2 linked regions of the Ovis aries genome follow. The protein of the gene in region 2 binds, or shares a complex with, the protein of the main gene of each other region. Links are inferred from orthologs where the notes say so. Each region holds a gene or a part of one and is shown on either strand. Other genes may lie near its edges. The genes, in order: IRF2BP1 and BANP.

Region 1 (4,232 bases), about 40 Mb from region 2:
CCGCCCTTGAGATGGGCGTGCAGTTCAGGGCACCAGCAGGCGAGCAGCAGTCACCGTCTTCCCAGGGACCCTGTTTAGTGCACTTCAGGAGGTAAATGTCCTCGCGCAGTTCCCCCTAGCAATCTGGCCTAATTTTCTCCCTACCCAGCAAGAACTCACAGCTCGTTCCTTCTGGGAAGCCTCTTTCCACTCCCCCTCGGGGGCACTGTGTCCTCTACCTTCCGGGGATGGGCCAGACGGGAAACCTAATTCCCGAGCTTGGCTGTGGCTACCATTCAAGAGCCATCCCCTTCCCCCGCCCGGCTCCCCGCGTGAGCCTTAGTTCTGGCATCTGGAAAACGGGCTGATGACTAGAAGGCTAGGCCAGCCTTTGTAAAAACAGCCGGTGAGCCCACCTGAGTGAAGGGCGCCACCTGGAGGCTACAACGCGACGTCCTCTCCCTTGCAGGTTCAGTTTAGTCCCAAAGGGGGCGCAGCATCGCACACAACTAAGGGACCAAGAAGGAAAAAACCCATCTTTCGGTTTATTGAAGGGGGGAAAGGGGGTAAGATGGGGGGGGGGGGGCGGCAATAAAATGCTTTTGCTTCATTTATAAAGAGCGAGATTTCAGGAGGCCCCTTCTCAAGGAGGAGGGGGCCACCTCTCCCTCAACTACAAGCAGCAGCAAAGCCAAGCCAAGGAGGGGAGAGGGAAACCAGAGGGGTCAGGGGACCCCAAACACCCCCTCGGACAGCTTTCTCCCCCCACCCTCAATGCATCTACCCCAGGGGACCCATCTGGGATAAGGAAGTGGGTATGTACACAGGTGAGGGAGGCACAGGCCTGGGTAGGGGAGGGAATAATTTATCCGCAGCAGCGGTGGGTGGCAAGGGGTGGAGGGGGGCGGGGGTGGATAGGCAGTAGACTGGTGGCAGTAGTGGCCTAGGGGTCCCGTTCTTTCTTAACCTTGATGTCTCCAGCAAGAATGGTGGCGATCTCTCCCTGCATGAAGGCCCAGGGGACAGAGGAGCCCACTAGCGGGCACTTGTCTCCGCTGGGGCAGTACACCTCTCCAGCAGGGCCCTGAGCCTTGATGAACTCGCGGGAGCAGGGAAAACAAAACTTATGTCCGGGCACTGAGGGGCACTGGACGAAGTGGGTGTCTTCCAGACGCTCCCGGCAGAGGGTGCAGCACAGGGGGGCCCCAGGGGTCGCCCCGGTGCCACTACCACCCCCGCTAACAGCTTCCGCCCCTGCTGTGGGGCTCACTTCTGCCTCACCGTTGCGGGCCACTAGACGATGCTGGGCTGGAGGTGGGGCCGTGGAGGAGGCGGCGGGGCTGGCACCCCCGGCGCGCACAGGGCCCCCACTCCCGGCAGGGTCCTTGGGAGAGTGGCCCAGGGCCTCGGCTACGTTCTTCAGGGCGGCGATAGGGGAGGGCACACCAGGGGCATCAGCGGAGAATGGGCCACCGGGTGCCACCCAGTGCCGCTGCTGCTGCTCCTCTGTGGTCATCTTCCCAGCTGCCTCGCCCTCGGGCTCAGGGGAGGCCTTGCGACGGCGTGGAGTGGGAGCCAGATTCCGGGATGGGGCTCGTGGGGGAGGGCCGCAGAGAGCTGCAGGGGCCGGCTCTGGATACTGCTGGGGCAGGGCCTCGGCGGGTGCTGGCTCGCGGAAGCTTCGGACCCCATCCGTTAGCAGCTCTCCCAGCTGGCGCCATTCCCCAGAGCCGTGCCGGCGTTCATATTCGAGGTACTTGAAGCCTGATGAGGCCAGCGCCTTGCCCGGCTCGCGCAGAGCATCATGAAACATCTGGCGAGCGACTGCCAGGACTCCCGCGTACACGTTGCCAGAACCACAGGGGTATTCGGTGAAGAGCTTCAGCTCGAACTCGTAGCCTGGCGGGCGGGCAGTAGCATCGAAGGCGAACACACGTCCCACCAGCCCGTGATCCTTCTTGAAACGGACATTGAAAGGGGCGCAGGCGGACAGCGCCAGCAGTTGTTCCCGCACGGCTTTGGGGCGCCCGTGCCATTCCTCTGCCCGGCCCCTCATGGCCTCGTTCAGTTCTGCCAGACAGTCCGCATTCCTCTGTTGCTTCTCCTTCTCGAAATCGGAGCCAAAAGCTGGACGGGCAGGACTCAAGCCGGGTGCCAGCGTCAGCCCTCGGCTTCCCAGGCCAGACACCGCAGCTGCTAGCAGCCCGGGGGGCACCAAGCCGGGCATGGAGCCAAGCAGGGCCCTTCGCGCCCCCTCCGCCACAGCCTCTTCACGGCCCAGTCCATTGGCCAGGCGGGACCCCAGGGTGTACTCCAGGGCGGGCGAGGGCAGGGGGAGGCGGCCCGACGATGTGGCCCTGTCATAGCGGTCCTGGCCGGAGACAGCGCCGCCTGTCCCCGACGGCTGGGGCTGGGCCTGTGGAGGCGGCAACTGAGGGCCCTGTGCGGCGGCGGCAGCCAGGTCCTTAGTGGCCGGGTGTTTGAGGGCTGGGGGCCCCGGAGAACGGCCCTCGGGGAGCACGTGGCTGCGCTTGAGCTGGCGGGCGGCATCAATGAGCAGCTCGATGCGATCCGCGCCCTCGAAGTTCACGCATCCGCGGCACACGGCTTCACTGAAGTCCCACACCATGGCCCACGGCATCTTGGGCAGGTCGCACAGGTAGCACCACTGGCGGCGGGACGCCTGCACGGACGCCATAGCCCCCGCACGCGCCCGTTCGGGCTCTCGCCTTCCACCCGCCGCCGCCGCCGTTCAATCCGCGCCGCCGCCGTTTGATTCGCGTCCCCGGGACCGCGCGAGCCACCGCCAGGCCTTTCGCTCGGCCTCCCAGTGGATCCAGGCCCGGCCCCCCTTCCCCGCCCCCTGGGCCCTAAGCCTTTTTCCTCACTCCCGCCTCCTCGAAAAGACTGGCAGAGGCACGTCGGCGCCCCCGCCGGGTCCAGGATCCGGGCCGCGGCGCACAGCTCGGGCCCCGCGATGGGCCGCGGGCGCCGCCGCCTCGGGCTCCCGCCTCTCCCGCCGCCGCAGCCGCCGCCGCCTCTTTCTGCCCCAGAGGCCGCTTCGCAGGGAAAGTTACATAACGCACCGGCAAAGCCTTCTGGGAAACGTAGTCCCGCAGGGGCCTGTTCTTAAAGGGGACCGCAGGCTGCAGGAGGGTTGGGGCTCGCTGCCTCTCCGCTGCGCAACCGTGATTACTCCTCGCCGCGGGGGAGGGAGTTTGGTCGCTCCAAGCAGCTGGAGACCAAGGTTGGGGGCGAGGATGTGATACGGATGGTGAGAGCCACCGAGGATTCAGAAATTGCGGGAGGTGGACAGGCATCCGGTTTCTACTCCGACTTGCTGTGCAACTTTAGGCAAGTCTTGCCTTCTCTGAGATTCAGTTCCCCGCCCTTCAAAAGGTGGGCCGGCTACCGGTTACTGAAGGCAGCAGTTCGTGGGACGGGGGCGGAGGGGCCTTAACTGGAAGGTTTCAGGGTAGGGGGGCGGACAGGAAGCTGGCGACTCAAGCGTTGGGTAGGGCTGTCCACTTGGCACTTCGTCTTGCCTAGAATCTTGGATATCAGATTCTTGACTGGGGCAAGCGAAAACCGGAGAGAAGAGAGGACTCAAGGTCTCCGCGTCAGTTGCTTTATCTGCCAAAGGGAGTGGTCGAATGCCCCTGTTCCAGTTCAGCCGGCGCGCTCTGGTCTCCAAAGGGTTACACTGTCAGTTTCTGCGCACCCCGCAGAACTTCACTACAATTCCCGAAATGCTCCGCGGGGCCGACAAACCGACGCACTTCCGCCGCCTGAGAGGTTGATTGAGGCCTTCACGATTCCCGCTGTCTGTCCACAACCCACCCCCCACCTCAATTTCTGGGGTTTCGGAGCGCCCGGTTGAGAGGAGCTCTCGACCTCGACGGCTCACTAATTTGGAAGGAGAAAATGAGGCCAGAGATAGCAAGAGTTGGAAGTGGGGCATAGTTTCTGTGGAGAGCGAGAACCAGACCTCGTTTTTCCAACCTTGAGTGCTTACTACCTGATAGGCAAAAGCAGGCTTTTGGGACCCTCGTGCTTCCCGGCGATGGAACGCTGCAGGGCATGCTTGGAGAAGGGGGCATGTGGAGGAGAGACAGGTTTCCAGATTCTAACCTACATCAGCCTCTTTTCTCTAGGCCTGGGTCTGTTGTTCTCCAGTCGCTAAGCCTTGTTTGACTCTTTGGCTACCCCATGGATTGTAGGCCGCCAGGCTGTTCGAAGAAGTAGGCATGAAG
Region 2 (4,489 bases):
CGGAGCACACAGGAGTGGACACAACAAAGGGGGCCTCCAAGCCTATAAAGGCTAGGACTCCAAACCAGGAGAGGGTGAGGGTTGTGCCTGCACATGGAAGTCAGGTCCCTGTACGAAGAGCTGTACAAGGGCCGTCCCTAGACCAAGTGGAGCAGCCCCCAGTCAAAGGCATCTTCCTTAAGCAGAGAGGCCCAGAGAAAATCTGCCTTCTGGCATTTGAGGTCCCAGCACAACAAAAAGTTCCCCAAAACCCAATAGGAAACCTGCACATTTTCAAAAGCAGTCCCACGGGGGAATTCCCTGGTGGTCCAGAGGTCAGGACACCATGCTTTCACTGCTATGGGCCCAGGTTCAATCCCTGGTTGAGGAACAAAAATTCCATAAGCCACCATGTGAGTGTGACCAAAAAATCAGCCCCCCAAACTCATGAGTTCTCTGCCTGCTTCCTCTGGCCTTAGACAACAATAATTCCAGTATTTGAAGAGTACTTGCCACACAAAGCAAGAAGCCCGTCTTTTTAAAAAGAGGAAAAGAACAGTGACACAACAGAACACAAGAAATCAGAGAACAAAAGGGAACCAAAAAAACCCTTACTAGTATCCCCAAAGTCAAGGAGAAAAATGCATTCATCAAACAATACATTATTATGAAAAAAGAACATTATAAATCCTTAGAAATTAAACTTTGATTGTGGAAATGAAAAATTTTTAAGTAGGACTGGAGGATAAATGTTTCTATCCCAGAAACAAGAATAAGATGACACAGGAAGAAGATAATGACAGAAGATTCAGAGGGTTAATCCAAGATGTCCATCATCAAACTAACAGAAACTCCTAAAACAGAAGAGTAAAAGCAGAGCTGGAGAAGGAAATAGCAACCCACTCCAGTATTCTTGCCTGGAGAGTCCCACGGACAGAGAAGCCTGGTAGGCTACAGTCCGTGGGGCCACAAGAGTCGGACAACTTAGCGACTAAACCACCACCAAAAGCAGAGCAGAAGACATTCTCAAATGACACAAGACTTTCAGATTCCAGAGCTGAAGGACAAGTCCCCAGAGTCAGAAAGCAGTCAGAGTAGGACTCTACACAGTTTTCGGGAATTCCGGAAATGTCTTAATACCAAAGAGGATCCTGAAGAGTTATCCAAAAGGAATAAGGCTACTTGGCAGTAGGTTCTCACTGAAATAAAGGAAGTCAAGATTAAAACACGAGACCTGAACAAACTCAGTTGTATATAGTAAAAAAAAAAATGTCAAGATGATACTGGTGCTGGTCTAAGGAGTAAACAATCCAGATTAGAAAAAGACCACCACAAGGCTGGGGAGAGGGGGATGGTAAGAGAGATTTAGTGCCATCCTTCAGAATCTAAAACAAGGTAAAGTGGGACTTCCCTAGCAGTCCAGTGGTTGAGACTCCATGCTTCCATTGCAGGGGGAACAGGTTCAATCCCCAGAGAACTAAGATCCCACATGCCTCGGGGAATAGTTAAAAAAATAATAAAAGGTAAAGAGTCAACAGGAACAAAAAGTGCAAAGAAAAAGAAAGGCCATCACAAACAACAGAAAAAAGCAAAAACCCGTATAACAGGGGAAATAGACTACCTAGCTGTGAATATCTGCTTAGTTATAAACAATCTGAACTGAACATAGTGATCAGGGGATAGAGGTGAGACGCGATATGAAAAAGTCAGTCATCCTATCTGTTAACAGCAAGTCAGGAATGTATAAAACCAGTAAAGTGCCAGCTTATTATTTATAGCAACGAAGAACTTCCTCATGAAACAGCAAAAATATAAAGTCTTGGAGGAGTGGAACTGGGAGGTGGGGTGGGGGCTGTTGTTTTATAGTCTTCCATTGACACTTTGCGGCATTACTTTATTAAAGTATCAAACGTGTGCAGTTTTTTCAGAACATGGACTTGGGACAGATCGCATTCAAACCTGGCCGTGTGACCCAGGGAAGCCCCTTCCCTCCGTGGGCCGCAGCCACCTCCCTGTCCCCCTGACCCGACCGCCGCGATGAGAAGCGCTGGAAACGCCGGCGGGACTGGCCGCAGCACTGGACCCACACACGGCATCAGCTTTCTCAAAATTGGAGCCGTGACAGGACCCGACGTCCCAGGAGGAAACGCTTATTTTAATCGCCAGACAAGGGGGGGCAAAGGAGCTTTAAACACACGGAGTTAACGTTACCGGCGGCTCGAAGATTCCGAGCACCGGGCAGGGGTCCCCAGGGCCGCTCCTCACTCGGGCCCGCCGCCCGCCCAGCGAGAACAGCCGCCTCCCGCACTTCCGCCCGCAGCCGCTGTCCCCGCGTCCGCGGCCGCCGGCCTCCCGGGGGGGAGCCGCCTAGCCGCCTGCCAGCCCGTGGCCTCACGACCCGGAGCGGCTACACCGCAGCAACAGCAGCGCGACCCCACCCCGCCCGCCCGCGGCCGGACGCTGCTCTTGCGGGCCTGGTCCCGGAAGGGAGGCCCGCTCCGCGACGGACCCCGCGCACCGCGACGGCGGGGGCGGCGGGCCGGGGGATGGGCGGCCGGAGCCAGGTGCGGGTGCGCTGAGGCGCGGCGGGCAGGCGGCTTGACAGGGCTGAGACGGGGGCGCACAGGACGGCGGGCCGTTGGGGCCGGTGGCCGTGTCGGGGGGGCGGGGGCGGCGGCGCGGGCGCCGCGGCCGGAGGAGGGCGCAGGGAGGAGGGAGGAGGGGAGATCTCGCTCTCGCTCTCGCCCCGCGGGAAGGGGGAGGTGGAGACGCGACCGGCTGCGGGAGCTGCAATTACCGTGTGGGCTGCGGAATTCTCGTGGTGTTTGTCGGGGAGATGCGATAATGGCGTCCGTCCTCGCGAGAGAAGCCGCCGCTCTGCGCAGGCGCCGCGAGTCCCTCCCCGCGGCCCTCCGCCCTGCACCATCTGCGCAGGCTCACCGGGAGGAGGAACGGGGACGGGGCAGGGCGCGAGGGCGGGGCCTGCTGCTCGGAATCTCCCGCCCGCGCTGGGCTGGCGCCGACGACCGCCGGGCATGCGCACGGGTCCTGCATCCTCGCCACAGATTGGCCTCCAAACTTCTTACTTCTCTGTCACGCGTTCAGGCTTCTCACTAGCCCCTGAAAAGTCGCGTTGGTGGACCGTTCGGGGAATTTGCATTTTCTTTGAGGCCTAATGAATAGGAATTAGCGCCATAGACGACTACATGTCCCGGAGGGCCCTGCGCAAGCCTCGAGCAGTGCATTCTGGGACTCGTGGTTCCTGCGTCTGCGCGAAGCCTGCTGGTACTTGTGGTCCCATCCCCCCCGACCCGTGCCAGCGCATGGAATGCTGGGACTTGTAGTTGAGGTGTGCAAGGCCGCTGCACCGGGCGCGGCTCTGGCCACTGCTGCAGCGGGGTTCCCCTGAGTAGCAGGCGAGCTCAGGGGTTCCCAGGTTCGTCACAGGTTCAAAGACACGCTCCTAGAAAAATATATATTAATTATATGTGATATATATTTTATGTGTAATTGATGTTATGTATTGTGATGTTTGTTATGTATCCTTAGAAAAGGCAGAGAGGAACCAGAGATCAAATTGCCAACATCTGTTGGATCATACAAAAAGCAAGAGAATTCCAGAAGAATATCTACTTCTCCTTCATTGTCTATGCTAAAACTTTTGACTGTGTGGATCACAACAAACTGGAAAATTCTTATTAAGTGACAGTGAAGTCCCTCAGTCGTGTCCGACTCTTTGCAACCCGTGGACTGTAGCCCACCAAGCTCCTCCGTCCATGGGATTCTCCAGGCAAGAATACTGGAGTGGGTTGCCATTTCCTTCTCCAGGGGATCTTCCCAACCCAGGGATGAAACCCAGCTCTCCCACATTGCCGGTAGACGCTTTAACCTCTGCACCACCAGGGAAGCCCTTAAATACAAGAATACAGTCTCTCAGAAAACCTCCTATAGAGACACAGAACTTCAGATCCAGGTACTAACATCAAAGATTTCAAGGGAGGAAAGGAAGCCAGGTTGAAAGAAGAAGGGGGAGGAGGCAGGAGAGGGGGGGACGAAAGGGGTGGCCTTACAGACATCTCCTGCCACCTACAGATGCCCAGGTATTATGGGACTTTTCCCTGGCCTCCAGAGAAGGGAGGACTGAAACTCGACCCTACCAGAAATCAGACCAGACCAGAACCAGAATTCGAGTTCTCTGCCAAGAGGGGGTGATCAGTCGCCAATCCTCAGCTCAGGCTGAGGGCCCTTTGACCAGATTCCTGTGTCCAGGCCCGGGGGAGTAGAAAAACAGGGAAGGATAGGAAGGGTTAAGGAGACGAAAGAGAGAGGGAAGGGGAGAGTGGTCAATAAAATTCTTAAAGAGATGGAAATACCAGACCAACTTACCTGCCTCCTCAGAAACCTATATGCAGATCAAGAAGCAACAGTTAGAACAGGACATGGAACAATGGGACTGGTTCCAAATTTGGAAAGGAGTGTGGTCAATCCTGTATATTGTTACCCTGCTTAT

What was found.
Region 1: BANP (region 2) and IRF2BP1 share a complex: the UniProt entries of both Homo sapiens proteins name them as parts of the corepressor complex. The link is inferred for Ovis aries from reciprocal best matches to the Homo sapiens genes BANP and IRF2BP1.

What each region holds. Positions count from the first base shown.
Region 1 is NC_056067.1:53,189,859-53,194,090, forward strand, and holds IRF2BP1 (interferon regulatory factor 2-binding protein 1), read right to left. Parts: upstream 2,998-4,232; 5' UTR 2,678-2,997; coding exon 923-2,677; 3' UTR 505-922; downstream 1-504. UniProt on the Homo sapiens protein: Acts as a transcriptional corepressor in a IRF2-dependent manner; this repression is not mediated by histone deacetylase activities. May act as an E3 ligase towards JDP2, enhancing its polyubiquitination. Represses ATF2-dependent transcriptional activation.
Region 2 is NC_056067.1:12,928,924-12,933,412, reverse strand, and holds the start of BANP (protein BANP), read right to left. Parts: upstream 2,859-4,489; 5' UTR 2,191-2,858; intron 1-2,190. UniProt on the Homo sapiens protein: Controls V(D)J recombination during T-cell development by repressing T-cell receptor (TCR) beta enhancer function. Binds to scaffold/matrix attachment region beta (S/MARbeta), an ATC-rich DNA sequence located upstream of the TCR beta enhancer.